4 linked regions of the Saccharomyces cerevisiae S288C genome follow. The gene in region 2 interacts genetically with the main gene of each other region. Each region holds a gene or a part of one and is shown on either strand. Other genes may lie near its edges.

What was found.
Region 1: mutations in PPT1 (region 2) and PHR1 together harm fitness more than expected from each alone (negative genetic interaction), as found in Saccharomyces cerevisiae (one large-scale study listed by BioGRID).
Region 3: mutations in PPT1 (region 2) and SRL4 together harm fitness more than expected from each alone (negative genetic interaction), as found in Saccharomyces cerevisiae (one large-scale study listed by BioGRID).
Region 4: mutations in PPT1 (region 2) and YPL034W together harm fitness more than expected from each alone (negative genetic interaction), as found in Saccharomyces cerevisiae (one large-scale study listed by BioGRID).

Annotation. Positions count from the first base shown.
Region 1 is NC_001147.6:1,064,920-1,069,071, reverse strand, and holds PHR1 (deoxyribodipyrimidine photo-lyase PHR1), read right to left. Parts: upstream 2,234-4,152; coding exon 536-2,233; downstream 1-535. Other genes in the region: YOR385W (uncharacterized protein), read right to left, coding at 3,157-4,029. UniProt on the Saccharomyces cerevisiae protein: Involved in repair of UV radiation-induced DNA damage.
Region 2 is NC_001139.9:736,112-740,001, reverse strand, and holds PPT1 (protein serine/threonine phosphatase), read left to right. Parts: upstream 1-1,798; coding exon 1,799-3,340; downstream 3,341-3,890. Other genes in the region: ASN2 (asparagine synthase (glutamine-hydrolyzing) 2), read right to left, coding at 1-58. UniProt on the Saccharomyces cerevisiae protein: Protein phosphatase that specifically binds to and dephosphorylates the molecular chaperone Hsp90 (HSC82 and HSP82). Dephosphorylation positively regulates the Hsp90 chaperone machinery.
Region 3 is NC_001148.4:486,862-490,161, forward strand, and holds SRL4 (Srl4p), read right to left. Parts: upstream 1,347-3,300; coding exon 501-1,346; downstream 1-500. Other genes in the region: YPL034W (uncharacterized protein), read left to right, coding at 1-348; SVL3 (Svl3p), read right to left, coding at 2,026-3,300. UniProt on the Saccharomyces cerevisiae protein: May be involved in the regulation of dNTP production. Induces the SOS system when expressed in E.coli, therefore, it may play a role in DNA metabolism and/or in genome stability.
Region 4 is NC_001148.4:484,639-487,709, reverse strand, and holds YPL034W (uncharacterized protein), read right to left. Parts: upstream 999-3,071; coding exon 501-998; downstream 1-500. Other genes in the region: SRL4 (Srl4p), read left to right, coding at 1-348; H(+)-exporting P2-type ATPase PMA2, read right to left, coding at 2,024-3,071.

The sequences.
Region 1 (4,152 bases), on a different chromosome or scaffold from region 2:
GGCAAACAATCTTCTCTAATCAAAAAAAGAAATTTATTCTATATTGTCTTCTCCGTATTTTGCCCTCTTCACTCCTTTTGCCGTGCCTCGCATAATCTAGTTATTGTGTTTAATATTGTTTTTCTTCTTGAAAACTTGTGTAATAATTTACAATAAAATTTAGTGTTATAGTGAATATACTAGAGACATCGACAAACTTTTTTGTCAGTTTTCAGCTAGACAGTTGTATTGATTGTATTGACTAGGTCTGGATTAAGATGGGCACATCCTTCAGTAGCTACTCAGGAGCCACAGTTTTCATAGTAGTAATGAGATATAACCGCCGCCAGCTATCGGTGTTTTCTAGGTCCACTACTGTTATAAAAACTATAAACCCTATCATTTCCGTAAATTCTTGAAAGCGTTAGTTTATGATGAACTTCCTAAAGAACCTGGCAAGGCGACCAATACCATATAATTTGCCGAAATACTAACAGTGATCAAGCAAAGCGGCAAAACTACTAAAGCACACCTGCTTAATCAGGAGACGTTATTCTCACATTGCGTCTTTATAAACTTTCAAAGCACGCTCCCTACTATGCTTTAAATCAACTAAAGGTTTTGGATAGTTTTCTGGACGCTTATTTTCGGAAGAAATCAATTCGGGAACCCATTGTTTGACGAATATCATTTGTGGGTCATATTTTTTTGCTTGTATATCCATATTAAAAACTCTAAAATATGGTTGGGCATCAATTCCTGTACTAGAACAAAAACCCCAGCCACCAACATTTGAAGACGAATCACCGTCTATCAAGTGTTTCATAAACCAGCGTTCCCCCCATCTCCAATCTATTAATAAGTTTTTAGAAAGAAAAGAAGCTGTGATCATTCTAGATCTGTTATTAATATAGCCTGTGTACAGTAATTTTCTCATTATGGCATCGACTATGGGAATGCCTGTATTACCAGTACACCACTTTTCAAATGCTACAGGGTTATTCTCCCATTTTATATCTAAAGTGTCCAATCGATAAGGCATTCCCATTGAGGTATATGGCCAGTTGCACATACAATGTCTGTAAAAATCTCTCCATGCAACTTCTTTGATGAAATTTTGGGTGGACGAATTATCTTTCAGTGCTTTTGACATTATTTGTCCGTTGCATGATTGAAATGCCTGGTTGACTATAAGTCTTGTGCTTATCCTACCAGTAGTTATATATACACTTAGCCCAGAGGTTCCACCCAAATATAGCATGTCTTTTTCATTGTTGTACTTAGAACTTTTTGTACCGAGGAAATCTTTTAATCTGGATAAAGCTGCTTCTTCAGAAACGTCTGGCAAGCACCATTTTGATTTAGGTATATATTGAAGGAATTCATCCGGTAATGAATATTGGAATGGCTTCAGTTCAAAAGTTTCGTTGTACTTTAATGGTTCGATTATATGCAAATGACAAATTTCAGAGGTACTCTTTTTGTAATTATTTACATATAGCACCCATTTTTTGTACCATGGAGTAAACACAGAATAGTTGGTGCCTCTGTCAGTAGTGATCAATCCAGGAGCAACAATGCAAGAGTCGTGGTAGTATTTCAATTGCAATCTATGGTCTTCATTTTCTAACAGCCTAATATCACGGTACAGTTCATCTGTTTGGTATTCTATATTAGCAGTGATTATCGTACCTGTTCCTGAACTTACATTCATACATTTTTCTTTGAAAAACTCCACGAACTCTTTTGAATTAGATAAGGTACTTTTTGGAGTGTGGAATTCCCACAGAAGAAGAGGTATGTGTAATTCGGCTAAGGACTGCTGCAAATTTTTTAACGCCCCCATTATAAACATCAATTTCCATCCGCTATCCATATGGGCTCTCCAATCATCTTCATTGATGACATAAACAGCATATAATTTGGCTTTTGCGTTTTTTTGCCTCAATTGCTGGAAGAGCGCAACACTTTTGTACAGTCCCACATTATCATATAAACGTAGATCATTTCGAAACCAGTGCATGACAGTGCTAACATTCTCAAACGACGTTTTTTGCTTCTTTTGCAGTTTTTCCACAATCTCCATTGGTTTAGCCCGAGACTTATTATTGAATTGATTTGCGCCTGTCCTAGTAATTGGCCTTGGATAATATTTTTTGTTCAACGAGTGGTATTGTTCAAAATCATGTTCTATATCCAGCCGAGATCTCTTACTAGCATATGCGTTCGAGGAAGATATTACCGTTCTTTTCATTATCAGTGCTGGTTGTCTGTTCTGTGAAACGAATTGTAAAGAGGAATAAGTGTCAAAGTAAGCATACTTTCACCCCTTAAGGTTTAATTTGACTGCTTCCTCGAAAAACGAGGAAGAAAAGTGGCGCCAGTAAAAGCGAGATATGTAGTTCGGGATAAAAATAATTGAATACGCAGTCATCAAACGTAATTGTTGTAGCTAGCATTATGAAGCGTCATCTTCATATCAATAACTTCTTTAATATGCTTATTGGATAGAAAGATTTATGGATTTCAAAAAGCTCCGATGATGATTCTGGATAGAGTTTTGATTTTGCATAAACTTCTAGATAACAATTTCGAGAAAAAACAGCTGTATCTTCTCATATTGTTAAAAAGGTGGGTTCAATTGACGGAGCTTGTTATATTATGCTTGGATTTGTTACAAAATACTTGCTAAGTAATATTAAAAGGATACTCTATGAATACAATCAGTAAAAAGATGTTGGTACTAGCGCCGGTGTTAAAATGCACACAAAATATACCATAATCTTGACTACGTAGGAATAAATCCTGTATAAAGTCAAACCAAAAACAACGTTACCTTGATCTTACTATTGCCAATAAGTATGAAAACCTCAGATTAATTATGGGCAATAATTGCGTATTGAAAAAAAATTGAAAAAATATGTGATGCGAAGTTCTAGCTAATATGTATGTATCTCATTTGGCTAGGTCGTAATGTCTCGGATAAATGCCTGCTCAATTGAACCTAAAGAGTAATCTCGTTTCATTCGACCTCAGTTGCCTGTATAACGTTCCTCTGGGTGTTACACGTCAAGTTATATTTTTCGGATTGGACGGATTGCGAAAAAATCCTTGAGTAATAAGCCACTAGATTGTATCCTACTTCACCATTTTCTATTTCTGTTTCTGTTTCTTTTTTTATTTTCTTTCTCGTTCTATATGCAGCAGATAATGGATTAAAGCTCCCTGACAGGCAAATTCCTGAGTCAAATCAGGAACGGTCGTGATACCAAGAGAGTCTGGCTTTGAGTGTTCTCCAATAATAAGATTGGAGCATTTTGACGTGGATCTAGGGAGTATATCGGAAAAAGTTCTTGTATAATGGCCAATTACGAAATCTGGAGCCTTACTTTTTCCTTGATCTGGTTTTTGCCTTTCCTTTTGGTTACTATTTGAGTAATTGAGCCTGTCCTCATCTAGGAACATCAATCGAAAATGATCGCTGTAGAATTTCACATGCCAACGAAAACGCATACCGTCCAAAGTGGAATATAGATCTCGCATATTACTTTGTTTGATTATTTGGTATTTTTTGACCGGCTGCGTTTTAGAAGGATAGAAGAAATCGTATTTAGTTTCAAAAAATCCTTGATGAGCATAAATTTCACAATATAAAATTTTGCATAAACGAAAAACTTTATCTTGACAAATAACTTTACAATCAGAGTATAAAGGCGGATCTTGCACCCCTTGTAAAACGTACTTGTAGATATAGAAATCCGGCGAGCTCCGAGTAATTTTGCCAATAACGTTATAACTTTGGACAATATGAAAAAGAGGAACACCTACACCATCCGCATCTAGAGTACTGATATTAAAGTTTGTCTGTTTGAATTTGTCATAGGATTGCTCACTTGAGAATACAAAATATCCTCTAGTCCCGAATATACTTGCAATGGGCATATTTCTCTCTCTGCTAAAATGGAGACGTTCAGGAATTGTGTTCCTTTGAGTCTTTTCAATTCTATAATTATCATCATCACTCAATGGTTGACCACTGAAACCACGCATTGTTAATTGGTTGTTTCTTCTTTGAATTATTATGTCTTGGTTTCTACTGCCCGCCTTATATACAGTAGCTCAGTGAAAGTGGCTGCTACAGTTTTTTCGCTGTTTCTATGTACAATGCCTTTG
Region 2 (3,890 bases):
CTTTTGGTTTGAAGTTGTGAATATCTTCATGCTTGAAGGCTGCAAAGATACCACACATATTGTATTGTAGTGAGTATTTGTGTTTTGGTGAGCTTAACTGGGAAGCAAAAAAAATAGTATAAAAGTTAAATTAGAATAAATGAAACTAAGCAAGTGGCAAATCTTTGAAATATGCGATTCAAAGTCATAATTTTTTCAAGAAGAGAGGCTGGATGAGGCTTTACTGATTTTCTGGAGAAATCTTGCCATGAGTCAATGCTAAGAAAATTTGCAAAAACCCGCGCCGTGCGGCACCCATATGTGAATAAAGCTTTACTAGTAGATAGAAAATGTAGACCATTCCTGCAGGGTCCATACTACGGACGTATGGCTTTGTGAATCGTTTCACAAAGCCAAAAGAATGAACCCAATACGCAAGGTCCAGTTATGCAGAGAGCAGCAGGATAGCGGCTGTTGCACGCAACGAGACTGTTCTCTCATGTTTTCCACGATTTGATATATCCCCCTCTTAGTAAATACAGAGCCGTTCGAACGGTTTCTTTAGTAAAATCCAGGCTCCACCTTGATGGGAGGCATGATGAGTTCCAATTAGGAATGAGCAGGAGCTCACTTTAATCTTGTTATCGCAATGTGGAGTTAGCCTTAAGAACGTGTCCAAACCTCTTATGTATTGTTTTGTTCGTAATTTGATCGCTTTGTACGTGCAAATCGCTCTCTGCCCACAGCAGGAAGGACCACATAAGTGAATAAGTAAGTGGTGGTTCTATGATTTATCGGGATCTTATATTTGCATTCTAAAAAGTAAATGGTCTCTAGCGGGATCGAACCGCTGATCCCCGCGTTATTAGCACGGTGCCTTAACCAACTGGGCCAAGAGACCTATTTTTTTCGGAAGTCACTGATTAATAGTTTGATAATACAGGTGTAAAGAGTAGTATTTTCATGTGTCGCATTGTGTATGACAACATATGTGCGTTCGAAATAGATATAAGGCTTCTAATTTTCAAAGAAGGCGGTATCGTTAAGTATATGCATATGTTACGGTTTCACCTTGAGGATTAGAACTCTAAAAAAGGAAATAAGAGTGCTACAAAAAATGACGATTACTTCTTTTTTCGTTCTATGATATCGCCGCTCATTGTTCTATTACATCACCAATCCTTGAAATTTCAGCTTCATTGAATTGATGATGCTTTTAATAGAAACCATTTATGTCATATTTTGAGAGCCATACATGATAATATTCTGGTAATATAATCATAAGTTATTGGTTGTAGTTGGCGTAATATTCCAGGATTACGAATATGTATTTTATTTTACGCCCGCCATGTTGTATTTTTTTATCATAAAATTTTACACCATGACAAATCTAATACCACTGATGCAGTGTACTGTTTATACTTAAGAAATAGGTAAATTTTGAGATAATTGTTGGGGTTCCACAATACTGTCTGTCATCTTCTGTTATTCTGAGTATTTTTTTTCCTTTTAGCAGTTTCTTGTTCGTACCTTGGCCACTGAAAATTCTGGCTGAGACAATTATCAGGAACACTTCTAGTCCTCAAAAGTTCCTTCTCATTTTCTTCTTTATGAAAATATTTTTTCAATCATTGTATGTATGTATTTCTTTTTCCGTTAAAACGCTAAACCAGGGAAAAAAACGACGGCGGGAAACTGAAAAATTTCACAGATGAGGTAAGAAAATTGGCGAAAACAGCTTATAGAGCTTGACACAGAACTTTAACAATTTTAGAGGCAAGAAATAACGCTTGCCTTGGTATAATCAAATATCTCGAATATGTCAACACCCACAGCAGCAGATCGCGCGAAGGCACTTGAAAGAAAGAACGAAGGAAATGTTTTTGTGAAGGAAAAACATTTTTTAAAGGCCATTGAAAAATATACAGAGGCGATCGATTTAGATTCTACACAGTCTATCTATTTTTCGAACAGAGCATTTGCTCACTTTAAGGTAGATAACTTTCAAAGCGCTTTAAATGACTGTGATGAAGCCATTAAACTGGATCCCAAAAATATCAAAGCTTATCATAGACGTGCATTATCCTGCATGGCTCTGCTAGAATTTAAAAAGGCTAGGAAAGATTTGAATGTGCTTCTAAAGGCGAAGCCCAATGATCCGGCTGCTACTAAGGCGTTACTTACATGTGATAGGTTCATTAGAGAAGAAAGATTTAGGAAAGCTATCGGAGGCGCAGAAAATGAAGCCAAGATCAGTTTGTGTCAGACTTTGAACTTGAGTTCATTTGATGCTAATGCAGATTTAGCCAATTATGAAGGTCCAAAGTTAGAATTTGAACAGCTGTATGACGATAAGAATGCCTTTAAAGGTGCAAAGATCAAGAACATGTCTCAAGAGTTTATTTCCAAAATGGTTAACGATCTTTTCCTAAAGGGAAAATATTTACCAAAAAAGTACGTTGCAGCTATTATCTCTCATGCTGATACCTTATTTCGTCAAGAGCCATCTATGGTAGAACTAGAAAATAACTCTACTCCTGATGTTAAGATATCAGTATGTGGTGATACGCATGGCCAATTTTATGATGTTTTGAATTTATTTCGCAAGTTTGGTAAAGTAGGTCCTAAGCACACTTATCTATTCAATGGTGATTTTGTCGACCGTGGTTCTTGGTCGTGTGAAGTTGCACTATTATTCTACTGTTTGAAAATATTACATCCAAATAATTTCTTTTTGAACAGAGGTAATCATGAGAGTGATAATATGAACAAAATCTATGGGTTTGAAGATGAGTGTAAATACAAATATTCACAAAGGATATTTAACATGTTTGCACAAAGTTTTGAGAGCCTTCCATTGGCTACCTTAATTAATAATGATTACCTTGTAATGCATGGTGGTTTACCAAGTGATCCTTCAGCAACTTTGTCTGATTTCAAGAATATTGATAGATTTGCCCAACCACCTAGAGATGGCGCCTTTATGGAACTTCTATGGGCGGACCCACAAGAAGCCAACGGGATGGGTCCTTCTCAGCGTGGTTTAGGACATGCTTTTGGACCCGACATTACAGATAGATTTCTAAGAAACAACAAATTGCGCAAGATTTTTAGATCTCACGAGTTAAGAATGGGTGGTGTGCAATTCGAGCAGAAGGGTAAATTAATGACAGTTTTCAGTGCTCCAAACTATTGTGATAGCCAAGGTAATCTTGGGGGTGTTATTCATGTTGTACCAGGCCATGGTATTTTACAGGCTGGCAGGAATGACGACCAAAATCTAATAATTGAGACATTCGAAGCTGTTGAGCACCCAGATATAAAACCAATGGCCTATTCTAATGGTGGTTTTGGTTTATAGTCATGCCTTTTCTATTTTGCTAGATTATTATCAAAAGCAGAAAGTCTGGGAATAAAAGAAACTAATATGAGCTAACGAAGTGGAGGAAGTAACTTTTTTTTTTTTTTTATAAATTTATACATCTTTCACAAAAAATTTCATAATGTTTATTGTCATGTATCATATCATAATACCTCTTAGAAAAATAAGAAATATCTTCGTTGTTGAACAACATTATTCCCTTCAGCCAGGAAATTATTTAAAAAAACAACACTCACGATGGGGGTCGAACCCATAATCTTCTGATTAGAAGTCAGACGCGTTGCCATTACGCCACGCGAGCTATTGAAATTACACTTGTGTTGAATTACGGGCTCGAGTAATACCGGAGTGTCTTGACAATCCTAATATAAACAGTCTTAGGGAAGTAACCAGTTGTCAAAACAGTTTATCAGATTAATTCACGGAATGTTACTTATCTTATATATTATATAAAATATGAATCATACTAAGTGGTGGAAGCGCGGAATCTCGGATCTAAACTAATTGTTCAGGCATTTATACTTTTGGG
Region 3 (3,300 bases), on a different chromosome or scaffold from region 2:
TTGCCCATTTCATTATCAAGCTTACAAAAAAAAATGGAGAAACTTTTCATCAAAGATAAAAGTCACTCACACAAGCCTTCCCTTCCAGATCCTAAGGTGCCAACCCTACGCACTTATAAAGATGGTGGATTTTTCATTAGCGGAAAAGGTTCAATGAAACTACCAGATATCGAAAGCGCTATTCATAAATTTTTATGGAAGAAATACGGGAAAGGATTGGTTTACTGTTATGGGTGTGATCCAACTGGAAAAAAGAGGCATACAGAGTGGTTCAATGTGCCTGTATTGGAGCTACCATCAGTACTAAGACTTATTGATTCTTATTGCCTTGGAGGAGAATCTCGTTAGACTTAAAAAAAATTTTTTGGCCTATTCTGGCCGGTTTATTCAAATTATTTATCATCATAAAAATTGTAGTGTTACCTTTCTTTTCCTTGAATTATTTATAGAAATATATGTGCTTAGCAATTTTATCACTGTTACTTCGATTTGTAGTACCCTTAAGTAAAAGAGCTTTTGAAACCAGTTATCAAAAGAATATCACCAATTGATCTTTTGCTTTCGAGAATTGTATCACCATATCTTCCCTCAAGTAGACAGTGGACGAGATGTTTCGAGATACTCGGGGAAAGTCTCTTCCAATGTGCTTCACTTTCAAAACTGGGTAAATATGCAATCAGCGTTTTTACATTCAAATTACTATCTTTCAATTTAAGCTCTGAGGTTATTCCATCGTGGAAAGAGTTTATACCACATTTCGATGTAATAAAATGTGTTCCTGATTTGCACGGTTTTAACGTCAATACCGATGATATGTTGACAATATAGAACCCCTTTGCTTTTTCTTGAGCTTCAGCTTGAACCTTTGGAAAAATGTTACTCAAGCAGAACTTAGTTATCAATATTACACTTTGTAAATTATACCTCACGATTTTCTCGAATTCATTTAAAGACTCTTCATCAAGTCTCAAAAATTTGTCTTCTTTGAGAAGAGTCGATTCGATTCCCTCCTGCATGTTGTTAATGAGCACTGTAGGAATTATTTCTAAATTTTGAAGGTAAAGCATGGATTCCTCAAGACATTTTATGTCACTGAAATCTTTGCAAGAAATAAAAGTATACAGTTTTTCACTTCTCCTTGCGTTTTTTCCATTAATACTGTCTATAGTGTCAATATTTATAACCTTTGTATGATAATCTTCTATAAATGTCTCGCAGAGCTCGATGCCTAACTCATTTGAAGAACCGCCAATAATTAATACTGTATCGTGGCTAGGATGGAACTTTTTACCTAAACCGACATATTGATAAAAACTTACGAGGACTTTGTAAATTGTTTTCTTCATGTCAGATTTTTGGGCTCTATTACTAGTGGACCTGTGCTTCGGACATACGCAGTTTTTCTGTGGTTTCTTTATACGTCACAAATCTGTATTATTATTGAGTCACTAATTCAAATGCGTGTGACAATATAGCGACGGGGCCGTGCAAAAATAAGAGATACTGCACTTGCGCGGCTGATAGAGATTTCTTTCTTTCTACGCTGGGATAGTTTTCTTAGAAGGTTTTAGCTATTCTAATTAAAATGTTGTTCCCACCAGTATTTATTGGCACCTTGGACAATTTTAAAAATCACTGCTAAAACGGTGCTATGACACGATTTTCTGGTACTAAAACGTGTTTTATGAAATTAACAGTATATACAAAAAGTAAAAGGTATGGATAGTTAAATATGTGTAAAGCTATAATACAAAGAAATAACACAAGATAGTTGAGTTTATTTGGTCAAACTAAAAAGAGGAAATAATTATAGTGAATAATTCCAGATTTTGTTAAACACCAATTCAAACAAACTGAAAACAGGGAGAAACCAACCCAAAAAATAAAATAGATTCAGTGATAACCCAATTCTACCGCAAAAAAAAACTAAAAAAATAAATAATAGAAAATTAACAGATACAAAAACGAAAAAACAAACTGTTTACAAAACATTTACATGCGTGTTCATTAAGCTGTCGAAGGATATTATTTCTTTGATTTATTTTTTTTTTTGAATAGGCCAAATCTCTTCTTCTTACCACCATTTTTCTCCTCATTGTCACCATTATCGGTACTAGGCGAAGCCATATTCGCCATTTGACTTGATGAGGACAAGGTTGGAGTGCTTGGGGCTGAAACAGAGGTTGTAGGAGGGGGTGCAATATTTTTGGGATCGTTTATATCCACAGTGCTACTTGTATTGTTGTTTGTATTTGTAAATTGCATTGCGTTATGAACTACCGAGTTGGTGGAAATATCAGGGTTGCTACTACTGTTATTAACTTTGTTGTTATTATTTGTAACTTCTATCATGGTACTGGAGCTAAATTGCCTTTGTGTGGGAACGTGATTGTTTAAACTAGGAGCAGGGACTTGGTTAAAAGTATTGTTTGGGTTGGTGGCATGTGGCATATTCAGTTTGTTTTTCGATTGTTGTGATCTCAATCTATTCTGGTTTACGATGCTATGCGTTGGCATGGAATTTAAGCGAGTTTGACTTGAATTGTTCGGTGGTCTGCCAAAATCACTCATATTTATACTGGAAGGATTACCAATATTAGGCATATTACTATTTCTATTCTTCCTACTTGTGGGCTTGATAGAGTGTGAGTGAAAAGGTTGTACTTGTACCGATTGTTGTGGCTGCTGTAGGGGTAAGGAAGGAGGTTGTTGCGGGTCATATGCAGCGATACTTGAAGAAATTGGGTCTACAAAATTTCCGGCGGATGCAGGTTGAGACATAGCGCCATTGGTGCCATGCATTCCTCTGCTGTTAGAACGAACGTTTGCAGACTGCTGTAATTGAGGGAAGGAAGGCTTTCTTGGAATTGAATTATTGCTATTATTAAATCTTTGTTGCTGTAATGCTCTTTTCTGGAACTCCAGTTCACGTTCTTGTAGCTCTAATTCCTTTTTACGGAGTTGCAATTCGCGTTCTTGTAGTAATTTGTCATTCGTGCCATTATTCTCTCCGAAAGTTTGTGAATGTGAGGATAATGGTGAGTTCATTTGTGGCTGAGAGCTTACAACAGGTGGTGGAGATCTCACTGGAGAGTCTCCGTAGTTTACACTATATAGTGCCATATCTTCGATGTCCCTCAAATTCGGAGTTCCTGTTGCTTTATATTCATTTGTATCGGATTGGTTTGTTGCTTCAGTTGGCGTTAGTGCTTCAATTGATGTTTGAGCTTGAGATTGGGCTTGAGCTTGGGCTTGGGCCTGGGCTTTTAGAGCGACTTGATGTTTCTCCTTTAACTCATT
Region 4 (3,071 bases), on a different chromosome or scaffold from region 2:
CAAGAAAAAGCAAAGGGGTTCTATATTGTCAACATATCATCGGTATTGACGTTAAAACCGTGCAAATCAGGAACACATTTTATTACATCGAAATGTGGTATAAACTCTTTCCACGATGGAATAACCTCAGAGCTTAAATTGAAAGATAGTAATTTGAATGTAAAAACGCTGATTGCATATTTACCCAGTTTTGAAAGTGAAGCACATTGGAAGAGACTTTCCCCGAGTATCTCGAAACATCTCGTCCACTGTCTACTTGAGGGAAGATATGGTGATACAATTCTCGAAAGCAAAAGATCAATTGGTGATATTCTTTTGATAACTGGTTTCAAAAGCTCTTTTACTTAAGGGTACTACAAATCGAAGTAACAGTGATAAAATTGCTAAGCACATATATTTCTATAAATAATTCAAGGAAAAGAAAGGTAACACTACAATTTTTATGATGATAAATAATTTGAATAAACCGGCCAGAATAGGCCAAAAAATTTTTTTTAAGTCTAACGAGATTCTCCTCCAAGGCAATAAGAATCAATAAGTCTTAGTACTGATGGTAGCTCCAATACAGGCACATTGAACCACTCTGTATGCCTCTTTTTTCCAGTTGGATCACACCCATAACAGTAAACCAATCCTTTCCCGTATTTCTTCCATAAAAATTTATGAATAGCGCTTTCGATATCTGGTAGTTTCATTGAACCTTTTCCGCTAATGAAAAATCCACCATCTTTATAAGTGCGTAGGGTTGGCACCTTAGGATCTGGAAGGGAAGGCTTGTGTGAGTGACTTTTATCTTTGATGAAAAGTTTCTCCATTTTTTTTTGTAAGCTTGATAATGAAATGGGCAATAGCCTGTTTGAACTGATATTTTTGCTTTCACTTTTCAATTTCAAGTGGTATAATTTATCGACTTTCTCTGGAGTCAAGTTTATCACTGGATGCTTGCATGTGGTTTGCCATTCTAAAAGTCTTGAATCTACTGTTTTTCGAGTGGTCATTCCTATCTTACATAGAATAAAGTCTCTGTCTACCCATTGTCTCTTCTTTTTACCATTAGTCCGAACTATTGACTCATCAATAAATAGCCATTTTAAATCTACCGTCTTTTCAGATATGTATGATTCAAAGAGGTTACTGTATGTATAGATGTAAATAAAACCCGGTTTATTTTGCGCATTATCTCTTGGTGCCCGTGTGTACCTTGCATCTTGCCACTGATGATAATGACAGTACTTTTTATCCGACGGTATGTTTATCTTGCACCGCTCTCCCTTTTTTGTTATGCCTAAGACATCTCATAATAGATTTAGCTTTGATGAGCACTTTTCTGATATAGTCTTATCTATGATGGGAAACAATTCTTTATTTCTCTTGACATTTGATTTCTTATGGTGTTGGACTTCTCGCGGGAGAGGCGCACATACACGACTACATGATAATAACATTATTAGAAAAATATATCAACATAAAAGAAGAAACTGATATAATACGTGCAATGTGCTTGTATGTAAATAAGTGTGCATTATATGTTTATTAAAAATTAAGAATTAGATTGATTTAATGTTTCGAAAAAAAAAATATTTAGTCATTTCACCATGTTGGATGGGAATTCGTGTGTTGTTATTGGAATGATTCTTCCTTTTTGGAGAGGAAAATAGTCAAAAGAACACGAAATAATATGAAAAAAATTTTCCATATGAATTTGCATCCAATCAAGCAAAAGATCGGCCTACTTCTGATATGTGGATATGTTTGTTTGTGTGTGTGTGTGTGTGTGTGTGTGATAAAATTGACAGATATGATGCCACTTAGTCTAAAAACTTGTGTGTAAACTTTAAAACTGTAACATCATATCGAAGGTATCAAACAGAGCACAATTGAAGAGGCATTAATTTGATTTTTGTTGACCGTGTTCTTTTATAACGTCTTGGCTTCCTTGGTATCGACAAATTGAAATGAAAATGAGGAATAACAAAAAGGAGATCAATAAGAAAAAAAATCAGATGGATGATGTTTAAAATTACTAACTGCTTTTTTCGTGTTGAGTAGAAACTCTTTGCATAGCAGCCATGAAATCTTCGACACTTCTTGTAGACTTCTTTTCCTTTAATGACTTACCATTCATCAACCTATCAAAGGCTTGAGACGTGGACATAATATAGTAAAATCCTCCCAATACACAAAAAATACCAATGGACCAAATCCAGACACGAACGACTGACACAATATCAGTCCAGTTTTCAGACCACCAGCCAAATAAGGTAAACATGGTAGCAATAATATCAACGGCGAAAACGGCACCGGCTAACTGCCACGATGGAATGGAAGACCAGAATGGGCCAGCAGCTCTAGTGACAAAAATTAACCAATTTTCAGTTAGTGAAATCTGCAGGAACATGACACCATTCATGGCACCAAAATTTTGGATAATACCACCATTAGGCAAGAACATGGTGGTTAAAGTAATCCAAGAACCTATAGCTAAAACTATGCCCAAAATAATAGACATACCCCATAATCTTGGTAGGTTCCATTTCACAGGTTCAGGAGCATAAGGAGCATTGTCATAAGCAATAGTTAAAGTGGCAACGTCTGCGAAAATAGCAATAAAAACGATCAAATTGATATCCAAAGAGTTGTTTAAAATAGCAATCCATAAACCCAGGAAAATCTCCAAATGTAAGGATAGGGCAATACGATAAACAACATAGGAGTACATTCTGTGGAAAATCTGTCTAGAAGTCTTTAAGGCATCAATAATAGCAGAGAGACCAGGGGCCAAGAAAACAATATCAGCGGCTGATCTGGCAGCATCGGTAGCACCTTCGACAGCAATACCAGTATCAGCCTTCTTCAAAGATGGGGCATCGTTAACACCATCACCAGTCATAGCAACCAAGTAACCTCTGTTTTGCAAGATTTCAACGACTCTGTATTTATGCTGTGGGAAAACTTCTGCGAAACCATCGGCATTTTCAACAAAATCAGCCAACTCTGAACCAGGCATATCACCTCCACCTCCCAGACCTAACCTTTCTGCGTTATAAATGTTTGTACCAAGTCCTAATTGC